Coturnix japonica: one gene and its partner. The protein of the gene in region 1 interacts with the protein of each later gene in a biochemical or structural test. Links are inferred from orthologs where the notes say so. Each region holds a gene or a part of one and is shown on either strand. Other genes may lie near its edges.

Region 1 (4,299 bases):
TGTTAACAAACTTTCACATTACTGCATCCTGTCTTTTCCTACAATCCTCTGCAGACTAATCCCCACAGCACTGCTGCCAATCTATGTGATGGGAACTCTTTCCTCTAAACACAGCATTTTATACTTGAGCACAGCCACTAAATATATCAGAAACCCCCATCCTCCAAAAGGCAGCATCAAAACCAAGGCTCAGAAAGCCTCCTCTGACTCCTTCAAATTCTGTGCTAACCCAGTACACAAGACAGACATCAGATCCACAGGTGCCAGAACTGCCCTATAGTACTGCTTGAGCTACTTGTTTCCATTTGACAATGGCAACACATAACAGCTCCTTGAGATCAGTCACCACACTTAATATATCCAGACACGGTCCCTCAGGTTCAGCTGCTAACAAATTCTTCATATGAAAAATAATTTCCCCCAAATCACCTGTTCTGGGTCAAAGAGCAGATCTGCTGCTCCTGGCTGCTGCCTGTAGCACTGCACGCAGCCCTGCACACCTAGAATGAATACAAAAGCTTGGTAAACACATGACAGTGCTGTGCCTGCATCCCATCCCAGCTCCACCTGTGGCCAACCCCTGAGCCACAGCAGCTTTACAGGATGGGCCTCAGGGGAGTTTTCTTCCATGAATTCATCCGGTTGCTTTTTTTGTCCCTTTGAGCTTTCGGTATCCACATGCTTCAGAAAGGATTTCCAAAGCTTAAGTAGCTACACATTGGGTAAGTAAAAAACACCCTTTTGTTTGCTTTGAACCTGCCAGCTTAATCTCCTGCTTTGGCATTTCGTACTGAAAGCGACAGTAAAGAATTATTCCCTTCTCACCTTGGCCACATCGCTCACATCACCATACACTGTAATTCCTCTGCCAAAACATTTCAAGGTCTTTCTCAGATCAGCATTATTAAACACCAAGAGAGCATGAAGGTTAGAGGGAGTCACAAGGCTGCCTTTGCAGAACAGGCGTGGGGAGCCAGGAGTTGACTTTCCTTATGGGACCTTTATGGTTACTGTGTCCAAACACCGATGGCACATCCACAGGATCATTATGGTTACTGTGTCCATCAAATACCAGCAGGTAGCAATCCCAGACTCAGAGTTCAGGACAGGTTACACTCAGACACCCACCCAACTAGAAATACAAGGTGAGGGAAACAAGCTCAATTTGCAGTTTCTACAAGCTACTACTGAAGCGCTTCTTACTTCATGATGTCAGTGAGCCTTGCAGCAAACTTCTCTACCTTTACATTCACTCTGCGGGCTTTATAGCTTCAGAGGGACACAACTGTATTGCCACAGAATCATTTAGTAACTTACACAAATTAAAAGCACAGCCACTAAAAATATAGGCAAACTAAATCCTAACTTCTACTTTTGAAACCTCTCCTATGTTGTATTTACTAACCAGTGCTCCAACAATTCTGATGTTTACCATCCCACCCCAGCAATAAACTCTTACACTTTTATTCCTTGCAGTTACTTTATAAAACATATACTTCAAATCTAACCTGCACATTAGTACAGCTTTATGGCACTTGAGCAAGCATCATAAGGTGGCATTTGCTTATGCTTATACATTTCCACAAGTTTTATCATTTAATCGCTTCTATTGTCCCTCAGCCTTTACCCTAGCATTGTATTTTGTCTTGAGAAGACAGCAGAAGAAAGGCTGCAGGTTAATGTTAACTCAGGAGTCCATCCCTGCCCTTGGTTAATATGCCACACTTGGAATAAAGGAAGGTTGAACACAGTGGCCAACCTTTGTCCCCCAGCACCTGCTCACCCAGTCCATAGGCCATGCTGAGCCTGCAGTGCCAGCAAGCTACGGGATGGCTCCATGGCTTGATTTCCTTCAGGAATACAGTGGGATACCAAGGCTGGAGGCATGACATGCTGTAGAAAAGGGCTGACAAGCAGCAATGTTTAAATGAAATAATAGGTAACAACCACGCATTCTTGTAATCTATAAGCTTTTAATTCAGGTATTTCAATTTTATAGGTATCTGGTAGCATCAGGATTTATTAGCCAGGAATGTGATTGCCCAGTATCAGGCAAGCATCAGCAGTACCTACAGTAACACTGTGAGCCGTCTTCAAGTGACAGCTAACAAAGAAGACACTTTTAATTCTTCCTATTTAGTAACAGATGTAAATAGAAGAAGTCAGAGATGGGTTTCTGTAGCGTATCAGCCATAGGCACACACTGCTTTCCATAGGCAGCCTGCCACAGCACTCGGGCAGAAGAGAGGAGATGCACTTCACTGCAGTTCACACCATGCCCAGTTTTGTCCAGACAAGACCGCAAAGAGTTTCTTTCCTTTACGGGGACAATCCCAGGAGCACAGAATTGCTTTTGAAGGGAGTGTGGATAAAACTCAGCGTTAGCTGGAATGCACGGCATTATACAGAGCTACACTTAGGACGGCGGCGGGAGGGAGGAGGGATGTTTAATAACTTTTCAGTTAAGGAAGTAAGGAGAAAGCACTTTAGCCCCAGCAGCACCTGATAAGGCAGCTCTGGGATGAATTCCTCCTACGGGGAGCGCTCAGGAAGGCGCCCGTCAGACTCCGGCTCCGCTCGGCCGAGCCGGGGAACCGCCCGAGCCGCCGCCCCCCGCGGGGCTGCCGGCACCTCCGCGCATTCCCCGGGACAGGCCGTGCCCGGCTCCCGGTACCGCACGGCGGCCTCGCCCGGCCACTCCCGGCTCCGCCAACTCCCGCTCCGCGCTCTGCCCACCTTTGCTGCCGCAAAACTCCGCCAGCCCCTCTCGCACACACCCCCACCCGAAGCCCCGCTGCCGGGCCCCGCGGGAGCCGCCCGCACCTGCCCCGTGGCCGCCCGGGACGCTCCGGCGAGGAGAGGCCCCTCCGCCGCCTCCACCCGCCGCCGAGCAGGGCAGTGGATCCCGGCCTGCAGCACGGCCCCGGCTCCGCGGCGTTACCTGCTGCTGTGGCCGCCGCTCCGCTCCCCGCTGCCACCGCCGCGCCGCTCTGCGCCGCCCCCCGCAGCCTGGTCCGGCCCGGCCACCCGCCCGCACGTCAGCGCCACAGGGGCCGGCCGGGGGCGGGAGCTCGGCGGCGGGGGAGGAGGAGGAGGAGGAGGAGGTGGATGGGAAGCCGTGCCCGGCTGCCGGCCTGCTCCGCAGCCACAGCAGAGGTCAATGGCCTACGAGGCCGCAGGACGCCGAGGGTCGAAGCCGCCCCGCTCCCCTGGGCCGCTCACCTGCGTGGGGCCGCCTCACCTGCGGACAACACCGAGCCCTCACGGCTGGAGGCGGCGCTGCCGTGCGGGAGGGATGTGCTGGGGGCTCCTGGGCCTGCCCCAATAGCTGCTGTTCGATGGGGGTTCCCGTTGTGTTTGCTAGGAGTGATGTTTCATGCTTTTTTCGTCTGTCTTTTTTTGAGGAGCCCTCAGTACAACAGAGACACGGACCTGTTGAAGCGCGGCCAGAGGAGGGCCACAGTGATCCAAGGGATGGAGCACCTCCTTATGAGGAGGACAGGCTGAGAAGCTGGGGCTGTGCAGCCTGGAGAGGAGAAGGCTCCAGGGAGACCTGAGGGCGACCTTTCAGCATCTTAAGGGGGGCTACAAGACAGAAGGGTATAACACAGATGGTTTCTATTCTGCTGTGGGAAACCTTCAAAACTGGAGATCGCTCTGTTCCTTCCACAGGAGCTCCCCTTGTGTGCACCCTGCTGTGCTCACTGCCATCACTGCTATTTTCTGGGAACCCACAGACACACTTCAGCTCACGACATGGCAGGGCAAGGGCCACGGCTGTGCAGCATATGTACCGAGTGTCCCCCAACCTCTGCATCCCTTGAGTGGGATCAGTCTTCACCCTGTCCTGTCTGGTGCTGAGTGCCCACTCTACCCTCAAAGGCAAGGGACACTCAAAACACCTCATACTATATCTAATGAGCCCTGCAAGTGTCAACAAACACACTTCAGTCTGTAACCAGCCATGCCCTTCTTGCCATTTGCATTACCTGGTTAGGCTCGTGTCCTGGATCTCACTATAAATGAGACCACTTATCTTGTCACCCACGCTCCACTGTTTGTGTTCACAACAGAGATGGGCAGCACTGCATCATACCTGTGACGTGTGTCATGCAGCCCAGGACACGTATAGCCACCCCTTCTTAAGCACCCACATGTGAGCTCTGTGTCACCTCCCCCACCCTGGGTTTTATGGGCACGCCTGGCACCACCTGCTTGTTGGCCAGCTGGCCATAAACACTTCACTTCTCTCTGTGCAGTGTTTCACAAGTGGCACCGTTGTCCTGACTTCACATCATT
Region 2 (4,583 bases), on another chromosome or scaffold:
TGCTTGGTTGTGTTACATAGAAGAAGCTTAAAACCTCTTAGCATTTCCCTCTCCATCCCACACAGCAGGGGAAGAGTCTTATTTCTATTACTAATCCCTTAATCTTCACACAAGAGTTAAGTTTTTCCTCCAAAATCCTTGCAGATTACAAGGTACGATCATGCTATCTCATCACTTTTGATGGAAAGTGGATAGCAAGCAGAATTTGGTTTACCAGTACTATTTCCAGAGTAAGAAGTCTCTCTCTGGTGTGGAATGTGTCTCTTCATTGTCCTAGCAAATTCATACTTCAGAAGTGCTTGCTTTGTGCTGGGCTTGTTGTATGAAGTTCACAAGCATTCCCAAGAACTGGGTTAACCTAGTAGGTCACACAAGTGTACCAGCAGCATAAAGTACATAGAGAAGACCATCAACAGGAGAAAGATCTGTGGGCCTGGCAACAATACTCAGTAATCACAGCATATTATGCACTTCTACTTAACATCACAAGCAGTAGTTTTTATTTTAAACATCCTGCCTGAATACCAGCTGTTTGTTGCCTCCCCCCCCCCAGCTGACACTAAGTACAGCTGTTTTCCCACAAATCTAAGAGCTCTTCTGGTACCTTTTGCACATATTGTTTGCGTGTTTAAAGTGCTTTGTTCCCATCTACTCATGAAGTAAAGGGGCTAAACAACTGTAGCATCTACTGGGCCATTTTGTCCCATAACTAAATTATGTAGCAACTTTGTCAAGTCATTTTCTCTCAATGAGAAAGTAGGCTGTGTTCTGCAGATGTACATAGAAACACAGCAGAAGGCACATATTAGAATGGATAACCATCTCTACCTTCACAAGAGGAAAGTGATGCCAGATTTCTGGCATTTGGCCCATCCACCCGAGTTACAGTGCTGAGCACAACTGCTGATGCTCAGCCAATAGCTTTGTTTGAAGTAAAAGCATAATAGATGAGAAGGAGTGACACAAGTCAAAGAACTTGTATAGTAAAGCTTGCCATTCATCCAGCCTTCTGTCTACAGCAAGAAGCACAGAAGGCACTACTAGGTCCTGCATAGCGGAAGCATCTAATCTCACAGCACCTAACATTCAATGCACTTTAGTCAGAGTTCTCCTGTACTCTCAGTCATGAGGTCTGATAGTGAAGCTTCTGCTTTGATGGCTCACTGGACATTCATTTAGAATTCAAAGCAATCTTCCTCTTCCAAATGCAAACTTTAGTGAGTTTCTACTAACAGATGCTTCTGCTTCAGATCTGACCACATCCTCAGCTCACTCAGGTCATTTTGGAAGCCTAACTGTGCCCTAAGGGCCATTTGTGTTGGATGTGACTGCAGTGATTCTTTAAAAAAAGGCATGCTCTTTGACTCCCTCAAACAATCCTCTTCTCAGCTGAGAAGCTATCATTTGGATTCTGATTTACTCCTGCTTAGCCACCCAGAGTCTCACCTCTATCATCACCTGACACAGTGTTCGTAGGCCTTCATAACAACTTCTAACTGCACAACAGGTCACTATCAGACACCACATCATTTATTTCCTCCCCCCCCCAACATATTAGTGCCTAATAAATCTTCATAACCAACTGGAATATATAGCTTCGTAATTAATTTAATCTGAGCTGCCTATCTACAAAGGAGTTCCCATCCCTAAGCATATCAGTGCTCATTCCTGCATACAATGACCAAATCTTAAAGCCCACATGCTCTGATACCCAGTCTACCTCAGATAGAATTTTCACAGAAATTATGAAACACTCAGCAGAAATGTAACCTTCCAAGGCAAAGAAACTTTTTAAAGATAAGACAATTCCTCTCCAGCCCCCCTTCGACCCTCAACCTCCTCCCACACCCCCAAATAAAAACCTAAACAAAGTAAAGTTAATCCTACCTTAACAATGGATTTACATGCTTCCCTAGTAAGCACTCAAGTAATCACCCTCAATTCAGCTCAGGAGTAAAAGCTCTGCTAAGGGAATTCCAACTGCACAGATCTTACTGCTGGATCGCCGGCACTACCGCGGAACAGCACTCAAAAGTGTCATCATGTGATGATCACTAGGGCTCAAAGCTTCACCAGCTGAGAAGTTAGTTTTCCTGACAAGAGAGTGTTCTCACTTCAGTTAGTCCTAGAAACCATATTTGTTTACCACAAATGAATGCATCACCCTGAGATTCACCACCAGACAGAGGAGTGTTCAGCAAGGATGCTCCATCTAAAAATCAGAACAGAAAGCCTACCCCCGCTTCACTACATTCTAAGCCTTCTCTCTGCTGCTAGAAGATTCTTTCACCTCGGAGATGCATGCATATAAACACGAAGCTTCATATAATTTTTACATCTTCACCCCCTCCCCTGACAAACAAATAAAAACTCATGTTTATTTTGCTTTCAGATCGGGCTTCCTCAGGGAGCCGGCTCTGCTGCAGCCCGGGGCAGGATGCGGGCGGCTTCCAGCCCGCCGCACCCGGACAGCAGAGCGCCCCGCAGTCCCCGCGGCCCTCAGCGCCCGCACCCCGCACCACCTTCTCCTCTGCTGCGGCCGGAGCGCGGCCCGACGCCGCCGGAGCTGCAGGGAAACGCAAACGGCCCCGGTGGAAGCACCCCCCTCCCCCGGCTTTGCCATCCCGAGGCAGGGGGCTGCCGGCCCCCAAAACCCCACTATAAGGTCCCGCTGCCACGTTCTCGAAAAGGAAAGAGGCAAAAGAAAAGAGGGGGGGAAAAAAAAAACAAAAAAAACCCACAAAACAAAAAAATCGCCCTCCCTCCTTGGTTATAGCCCCTCCCGGAGGCTTGCAAAAGCCGAGTCCCCGCTCGCAAAGCTACTTACAAGCTAGATCCGTGCCGCTCCGTGCATGATCCGAGGAGAACCGCAGCTGACAGCCGGACGGGGAGCGAGGGCCCGGTTAAATATTCAGTGGCACTCTCGCCTACGGATTAGTTAGCCACTCACAGCGAGAGATATGGTTTTAATCAGATGCTGGCAGCTGAGAACTACCCAGGAATGTGCTATGATGTTTTTGCTGCTCGGTCTTGGCTACTCCCCCTCAACGTGTCGGTGCTCACAAGATTAACTCCTTGCGAGCCGCCTCTCCGGCCCCCGCCGCAGCTAGGGGGTGTCCAGCACAGCCCCGGTCACCGAGTGAGACTTGCGATGGGTGCGTGGAAGCTTGCACGTTGGTTCAGGGGAGACATATCTGGTGCTTCTCGTGCAGCGATGCGCCTGAAGCTCTCGTCTAGGAAACAGGTCCTCTCTTGTGTCTGTGTGACTGTCTGTTTATACACAGGTGTGGCAGTGTTATTAAAAATCCAATCCAAGCTGAACACTTATTTTCTGCAAAAATACCAAAATCAAAATTCCACCCTTTCCCCCCACAAATCTGTGGCTAGCTGAAACCATACTGGGATATGATTCTGTTTCTGGGCTACATCCAAACCTGACCTTTATAATTTCCACTCATCTTTATTAAAACCTCACTAATGTTTTGTTTCCCTGTGCAGTACAACAGTTTTCCAGCTCGTATGAAAGAGCCTCTGATAAAAACTCATGCTTTGTCCATGCAGAAGAGCTTTATTATTATTATTATTATTATTATTATTATTATTATTATTATTATTATTATTATTATTTTACTTCCCCCTCCCCAAAGCTGCAAACTTAATCTAACATTCATTTTCTCAAAACAGTGCAAAACATTTCTGTCCAATCTGTGCTATTGCCCTTCAAAGCAATGCCTGACATTAAAAAAAAAGAAAGAAAAAAAAGAAAAAAAAACCTTTTTTTTTTTTCCTTGAAGTAGCAATAAATTAATTTGGTAAATATTTTTTACTACTTTAGAAGAAGAAAAGAATTAATAAAAAATGATTTTATTACTGGGAAGTTAAATTTGTAAACTGATGGGTGCATCTGGTCGTGAAGTCCATCCAAAGCTACCAAGTAGCACAATACTTTCCTTGACACAACATGATGCTGCACAGGCCTGCAATGGCAAAATCTATAGGAGTCCTGTGCCTGGGGTAACTAAAAGCTGTCAGTTTTGTCTCATTTGCCCATATCAGTCTTTGATTTCAGAAGTGCTAATTTTAACCATAAAGGACTCGGAGGGACGTATTTTCGAACACCAGCCTAGCATTCATGGAGGGAAGTACATACTACTTAATGGCTCAGTAAGGCATTGCTGCAGTTAACAGGTTGCTGGCCATGCACATGTCGGTGTCTGAAGGGTTAGATGTGACTTCTTTGGGACACTGTCTTATTCATGTTTAACAATGTTGGTTTTGTACTGCTTGCACTGCACTGTGCATTGTTGTGAACACCTTGAGCTGGAGACCTATCATATCAGTGAGGTTACAGCTTCTCTGTGCTGGGGCAGTATGCATTTTAAAGTGTTATGCTTTGCTCAGCATGCACTGTGGAACTGAGTGACGCAGCCCGCCTCAAATGAAGGATGAAATTGTGCCTGGTTTAAACATGGTGCAGTAACAAAGCAGTTTCTATAATGCAGTCAGCCTGCTGCTGGCATAAGCAAGACCAACACTTGTGCTTTGCCTGGCATGAAACATAAGCACTGAAATACCTTGACTAG

What was found.
Region 2: the proteins of MYO6 (region 1) and DAB2 form a complex in vitro, tested with the Homo sapiens proteins (7 studies listed by BioGRID). The link is inferred for Coturnix japonica from reciprocal best matches to the Homo sapiens genes MYO6 and DAB2.

Annotation. Positions count from the first base shown.
Region 1 is NC_029518.1:73,466,467-73,470,765, forward strand, and holds the start of MYO6 (unconventional myosin-VI), read right to left. Parts: upstream 3,013-4,299; 5' UTR 2,942-3,012; exon of another isoform or gene 2,824-2,941; intron 1-2,823. UniProt on the Homo sapiens protein: Myosins are actin-based motor molecules with ATPase activity. Unconventional myosins serve in intracellular movements. Myosin 6 is a reverse-direction motor protein that moves towards the minus-end of actin filaments.
Region 2 is NC_029547.1:11,321,328-11,325,910, forward strand, and holds the start of DAB2 (disabled homolog 2), read right to left. Parts: upstream 3,028-4,583; 5' UTR 2,828-3,027; intron 1-2,827. UniProt on the Homo sapiens protein: Adapter protein that functions as a clathrin-associated sorting protein (CLASP) required for clathrin-mediated endocytosis of selected cargo proteins.